Drosophila melanogaster: one gene and its partner. The protein of the gene in region 1 interacts with the protein of each later gene in a pairwise test. Each region holds a gene or a part of one and is shown on either strand. Other genes may lie near its edges.

Evidence for each region.
Region 2: the proteins of Pp1-13C (region 1) and Sara interact in a two-hybrid assay, tested with the Drosophila melanogaster proteins (2 studies listed by BioGRID).

What each region holds. Positions count from the first base shown.
Region 1 is NC_004354.4:15,359,435-15,363,191, forward strand, and holds the start of Pp1-13C (protein phosphatase 1 at 13C), read right to left. Parts: upstream 1,628-3,757; 5' UTR 1,357-1,627; intron 1,288-1,356; 5' UTR 904-1,287; coding exon 1-903.
Region 2 is NT_033778.4:21,480,217-21,483,973, reverse strand, and holds the start of Sara (smad anchor for receptor activation), read right to left. Parts: upstream 2,048-3,757; 5' UTR 1,882-2,047; intron 1,771-1,881; 5' UTR 1,750-1,770; coding exon 931-1,749; intron 782-930; coding exon 1-781.

The DNA of each region.
Region 1 (3,757 bases):
CTTGCGCTTCTCGACAGGCTTCAGGATTTGGAAGGAGCACATGAGTGTATTGTCCACGGACATCATGGCACCAGCATTGTCGAATTCACCGCAATAGTTGGGGGCGGAAAACAAAGTGACCAATTGGCGCTTGGCAAAGAACTCGTAACCATCCTCGACGACTTGATGGGCACGACAGATCAGATCCAGATCGTGCTTTTGGAGGAACTTGACCACAACTTCGGCGCCAAAGGTGAAACTAACGCCACGGTCGTTCTCGCCCCACCCAATGGTGTCCTTGTCCGGATCGGACCACAGCAGGTCACAGAGTAGTCCCTGATCGGGAACATCGGTGGGACGCATAATACGACGGATCTGCTCCATCGAGGTAAGATCCGGACTCAGTCCGCCGTGGCAGCAAAAGATCTTCTCATCCACAATGGCCACAACTGGCAGACAGTTGAAGCAGTCCGTGAATGTCTTCCACAACTTGATGGTATATCTGCGCTTGCACTCGTCGTAGAATCCATAGATTCTATTAATGCTGGCGCACTCGTGATTGCCGCGCAACAAAAAGAAGTTCTCCGAATACTTGATCTTGTACGCCAACAGCAGGCAGATGGTCTCCAGCGACTGCTTGCCCCTGTCCACGTAATCGCCCAAGAAAAGATAGTTAGCCTCCGGCGGATAGCCGCCGTACTCGAACAGACGCAACAGATCATAGTACTGGCCATGGATATCGCCGCAGATCTTGAGCGGCGCCTCCAGCTCTAAGAGTATGGGCTGTGCCAGCAGTATTTCGCGCGACTTGAGGCACAGGCCCCGTATCTCACCCTCCGACAGCTGGACATTCTTGCCAGGCCGTGCGCCACGCACCTCCAACAGACGGGAAATTATGCTCTCCAAATTGAGAACCTCCGCCATGGCCTCGGTCTTGGGGGCCGCGGCTGCGTTGTCCGGGCTGGATAGGACAATCGTCTGGGACGCCGTTGGGGCTGCTTGTCAGGGACTCACCCTGAGATCGCGGCTGTCTGGAGAATGGGACTGGATCCTCGGCGGAGCTGGTCTATTTGGGTCACAAACTTAGCTTCTTGGGTGCAGCAAAATGTATGTCCTGATGACGTGCACTTTTTGTGATGATTTGTGAATTTTTCGATTTACTCAATACCAGGTGCTCAATACCAGAACATAACCGAATGGAATTGCTTCTTCTCGATATGTGGCGGTGAATTGTTTAGCGTTCAGCTTTTTTTTTCTTTTGATTCTTTCACAAAATGCCTAATAAAAATGTAGGACAAATTCTCGCTTCTAGAAAAAGTGAAAAGAAAAAGGTTTGACAGCTTGATTAGCTATATCGATTGAAATCGATTACCCTACCTTCTCTAAGTTCCTTCTAGTGGTGTGCAAAGTCCAGCTGTTGTAATCTAAATTCTAGAATCTAGACATTTGACCTCTGCGTGCTGTACTAGCAGTCGTCTTTAGATCGTGTTTTTTTTTTTTCGATTTCGCTTCTCCGGAAGTTAATGAAAATTGAGGATCTGATCGGATACACATGTGCTGTTCACTAAAACGCACTTTAATACTCTACATTCGCGCTTTTGCGGTATCTTAAAAATTTTAAAAAAAATTTTGATTCCGGAACGGTGACCTTTATACTTTTCAAAGACTAAACGAATGACAAATCGACGACAGACAAGTCAGTGACTACATCGCATTGTTCCAGTTCGTGTTTCATGGAAATGTGATGGTATAGTGATTTCTCAGAAACTTTTACAATAGAAAATATATATATTATATAAACGCATTTATTTGTATTTTCTTCGCATGTTCTAGGTTTTAAACTAAAATAAACGATACCTTAACCATCCTTATAAGCTGTCTTACATCCCGCGTTTGCAGTACTAGAAAGGTATTATTTAAGTTGGTCACCCCTGGAAAAGTGTGCCGACCCTCGTCTGACCCTCGCCCATTTGTTCATATTATCTCTGATTGAGTGGAAAACTTGAAGTTGCCGAGTGCCATTTGCTGTGCACCCCGGTTTTGGTATATTGTATATGAGCTTATTTCGTCGGATTTCCCGGCTAGTGTGGCCACTAATTAGCTGCAATTTGTTGGCGCAACTTGAAAAATGGCAGTGTAAACAGGGTATTTTCCAGTGTCCCAATAATGAGGCAATAACCCCGCATTTTTCACATACATACCATATATATACCATATATATATGTACACATAAGTATATTACATAAATAGCGAGCTGTTCGAGCTGATTGAACTGCTTTGTCGGCTGTTGGCGAAGGGCTCCACTGTACAGTGTGTATCGTGTGCTGGCGCACCGCAAAGCAAACATTCAAACATTCAAACAGCAGCGGCATCGTTTATTTTGGGGAAACAAAGGACCTCATTTTCCCCCATTTGTTTGACCAGCAAGGCAGCAAGGACAACAAGGACAACAGGGACCAACAACAAGCGGCCAAGTTTTATAAATGGCTTGGCCATTGTTGTGCGCCCGCCGCTGTTTGTTGAAATTAATTGGTGTTACACAAATGAGTAATTTTCAATGTACATAAATATTTGCACAAATTGCAATTTGTGTTGTGCGGCGGGGGATTGTCGGTGAGAGGGGGAGTAAGGGGGCGCACTCACTTTCGAGTGCTGTTCAAATAGCCATTTTTATTGTCAAGCGCTAATAATTTCCACAATGAATAATATGAACGGCAAGCATCTGTTATTATTCCAAACAAATCAAAACAAGTGCAGTCGAAACGAAACCGTGTGGGAGTGGGAGTGGGCCAAGACTCTTGAGTGCTGAGCCCTGAGCTTCTGAGCCAGTGATATTCAGAGTCCTGCATCCTGGGCATCCCACCCTGCGCTGGCATCCTGGCCACACACAAATCTTCATAAATTGCAACGGCCGGGGCGACAGTTTTGGGAATTGAGACAAAGTGCGAGAAGTGCCTGTGTACAGGGGCGAAATGCGAAAAGGGGTCGCCAAATGGGAAAATGATACACTTTACTTTACTTATTTTTACACATACACACACACGCACATACGGAAAGGACACCCCGTCGCACACAGACACAATCAAGGAGCAACAAATTGCCGCATAAATGTGGGGTGGTTCGCCACCTAATAGATTTTATTTTATTTTTATATCCGCCAGACGCGCAGCCAGCGGCCAACTTTTTTCCTACTTGTCGTTGTTTTATTTATTTATTTTTTTTTTTTTTGGCAGGGGGTTGCGATTCATGGCCTTACTTACTTTTACTTTTCACATTTTTACCTTTTTACCTTCTTTTTTTTTTTTTTGCCTCCGCCTTTTCGATCACAAGTAGGTGTAGTGGTTGGATGAGGGGGAGGGGAGCGGGTGGTTGAAGGCAGCTAGATTTCACGGGAATTCCCAGGATATTCTGCGCTGTTCGAAGGAACAGCATCCCACATTCATTGTCTCTAACTAACATTGAAAATTTGCCATAAACTTAAGCATATTTATAGCAAGCAGTTCAAGTCACAGGGGCTTTTTTTATATTTATGAATTTATTGAAATTATCAAGAATATAATTTTTTATGCAATTAAAATATGACTTTTAAGTTTTTCACTATTGTAATGGAACTAGAACTGGAACTAAAACCACAACAAAATTAATAAAATGAGATGCATTTGTAAATATAAACAAATGACCTTTACATTTTTATAAACTCATTATAATGGCTGTTATTTCGAGAACAATTCAGTGTTTCCTTTACATTCGATAACGCAGATTGTCTTGTAATTTCCCA
Region 2 (3,757 bases), on another chromosome or scaffold:
CCATGTTATCCGGGACCCATATGGGTGGCACCTTGCCCAGATTGGCATGCGGATCGCTGTAGCCCACTGCTTCGTAGATAGGACTTTCCTCGTCATCCTCGCCGGGTATAACACCTACTCCTGCCGCTCCTTCCCTGACTTCGGTAGGCTGCAAAGTTTCCTGTTGAATTTCGGGATTTTCATCTTGAGATGGCGTGGAACTTTCTGCCTGGCAACCATTCAAATTTAGGGTTTGTGGTCGCTGGGGGCGCTGCTCTTGGGTTTCCAGGGCATCCGTTGCCAGGCTGGCATCTTCATGCTCTCGATCGACCTCCACTTCGCCATCTAGTTTCCTGCCCGAAAGGGAATCCGATTCCGTGCTGCTGAAACTGGAGGCTACATCTTCTCCCATCGCGGTAACTGGTGTGGACTCCGGCTGCTTCAGATCAGCAAACTCCACAGTGGAGGCCTGCGAAAAGTTGTCCACGTTCATCTGATCGTTCGAGGTTGTCTCCTGCTCATCGGATAGAATCCGCACCGACTCCTCCTCGGTCACTGGCGAGGCGGAGCAGGATTTCTCATCGTCGGGCATTTGCTGATCGTCCGCCTGGTTGTCATCTGCATCCATCTCTTGCAGCATGCTGTCCAGTTCGGTGTCCGAGATCTCGTCCATGGTGGAGCAGAAGGTCAACGGTTGACTACGCCTGGGATGCTGCTCCTGTGGCAGCTCCACATCCTCTTCTTCCGTTTGTACTGGCTGCTCCATCTCTTTAGGGACCGGTACTTCCGCAACAGATGCTGGCTGAAAATGTAACACCATTATTAATAAACTATACTATATGTCAAGATAGTTTATAACCTTAATTGATTTATGAAGCTGATAATATTTTTAAACTAATGCGCTACACTTATTAGTCATTTACACAAACAAAGTAAGGTAATAGTACTTACTAAATTGGCCAATGGGACATCTATGCCGTTGGTCATTTCGGTTTCGGGTTCTCTACTGGGCGACGATTCCTCCGAGAGCTCCTCGAGGACCTGCCCGAGAACAGACGATGCGGTGACCTCCTCCGGCAATAGGGATTGCGATTCTGTGCCGGACGCAGTGATGGAGATGGATGACAATCCAACTGCTAACTCCTCTACAGTTTGTTTGGATTGCGTTGGCGGTGGAACAGCCTGATCTTGGTGCTGGTCCTCATGCTTGACCTGTTCCGGCTGTTGATCCTGTTCCTTTGGCTCCACCTGAACTTCACTCGTTTTCTCATCTTCGGGGGGCGTTGCTAGCTCCTCCGAGTGACTGCCATTGCTCACGGGCGACGGACCCGACGAGAAGGTGGAACAGGATGAGGTGGTCAGCGATTCGGAGGACGATACTATCGTCTGGCCGTTATTTTTGGACGCCTGTTCGCTGAACTTGTGGATGTCGTCTTCGTGTTCCGCCTCCGTTTGCCAGTCGTAGCTGGGTAATTGGGCATCCACCTGCAAGGACTTCACATTTTCCCTGTAGTCATCCAGGCTGTTGAAAACCTGAGAGACGCCCACAAAGGACTTTCCAGACGCCGGTGTTGGTGTTACTCCCGCAGCTCCCGATACTCCGGCGCCAGCTCCAACTCCACTGATCGATGCACTTGCTCCGTCGCCCAGAAAACGGCCAGGATTTGCACCTGCAGCTGCTGCTGCCGCTGCATTTCTACTCAGCTGCTCATCGGCGGCAATGCTCAGTTCCAGATTGTCCAAAACCTGATCAATGTCCACCAAGTCCATGGCCACCAAATCCGCAGAAACCTTAAATAAAATTGAACCAACCAGGTTTATCTGCTTGCATTTTCACAAAAACGCAAAAGAGAAAAAACAACACAAAAAGATGTGGAGAAAAAACGGTCTTGTGATTCATACCTTTTTCACACCTCGAATATAGTCATAACAAGGCAATGAGGAAAACAAGGACGTATTCGCCTTTAATAAGCAATATTAAGCACCTGCAATCACCTTATTTACTTTGTTTTCTTCTCGCTAATTTATTAACAAAAACTCGGTGACGAAAAACATTGTAAGAAACTGCCTAAAAATAGCCATGGAAACAGTGTTGCAAAGACAAAAAAAATTAAGTCAAATTAGCACCTTTCTCATTTAGTATTTTATGATGCTATCTCGTTCTATCTTTCTCTATAATCTGTTACTGTTACAATGTTAACATAAACCGTAACACCTTTTCAAATTTGAAAATAATAATAGGTAAAAGCTGTCGGGTCCTACACGAATATGAATGCTTCAATTGTTCAATATTAATGCGTATGAATTCAAACAAATCTATTAACATTGGGTCTGGGAAATTTTAGCCGCCAGTCTGTGTTTTTAAAAAAATGTTGGGTTGTACAACTGAACTAACAGTATCACAGAATAACAGTGAACGTACGAGCAACCGAAACAGTGTAAATCAGTGTAACCGCAGCTTAGCTCAAGAAAAATACTATAAGCATTTAAATATGAAATCTTGCCGATTTAAATGAATTCAAAATGTTAATTATATTTGATTGAATTATTATTTGCCTATCAAACATTTAATAATTCTATAATAATATCTTAAGCAAATCATGTAAACAAACAGTAACATAAGAATAAAACCAAAAAAATTCAAGATGTTAAAGTAACATTTTTAATCGCGAAATTGTAACAGAAATATATAAATTTTAAATGAGTACGCGTTTCGGAGTGTCTATTTAAGTCATCACCCAGCTAAGCATAAGAATTGGTATTTTTTAGGAAATGCACAGCTTGGATAATTGAGTCGTTTCTGCATCTGGTAACATTGGCCAAGTCATTCGAAAAAATTTTACGGAGCGAAGAAGGCACGGTTACGTCCGGATTTTAGCGCGATTTCGTGTCTGTTGTTTGGTCGGCACTCGAGTGTAAAGAAATTTGTACATCCCCGAAAAGAATCGCGAGTGCAATTTTGTAAATACGGAGAGGAAAAGGTGCGCAAAATAGCAAAAATAAATGCAACGAAAATAAACGCAGCAAAACAACGGGCAGAAAGATACGAAAAGAAGAGGCAGGCGAAGCAGAGGAGAAAAGAGACACATAAAGAAGCCGCCATAGCGGCGTTAGTGGGAAAGAGAGGGCGCGAGAGGAGACGGAGAGCGAATACGAATGCGTATGGTGTAGTTGTAGTGGTGGGCGGTCGTGTTTTTTTTCGTTGAAAAATCTCTGGATTCAAAGGGAAAAACAGAAAAACAAAAGGAAAATACAGTGTATTATACGAAAAATTTGTTAAATTTTATGTTTTTAAAATTATAAATTACAAAAATCGAATTCGATTAAAACACCCACACACACACCAATACACACAGTAGTTGCGCTGTTGTCTCCTCTTTATTTTTGTGTTTTTCTCTCTGCGTAAACGTTTTGTTTATTACCCCCGCTCTTCTACTTCCTTTCTTTGATTTTAGCCGCGCGCGCATACGATAAATTGTTGTTAATTTTACAGTGTGTAATGCTTAATTAATACCCTGTCTCTCCAACCAACGCTATCTCTTTTGTTTTGCAATTCGATTGATAACACATCGGGAATAGTGTGTGTCTGGAAAATAAATAATCATAATAATCATAGTTTCATGTGTGTATTTAAACAGCGTTCTTCTAGTGTGAAACCAGTTTAAAAAGCTGCAAGAAATATATATAGCTCAATATATATATTTATATATGTGTGCCGCCGCCAGTTCTAATCTTTAAATCAATAAACAAAACTGGAAGCCATTAGCTGAAATCACAA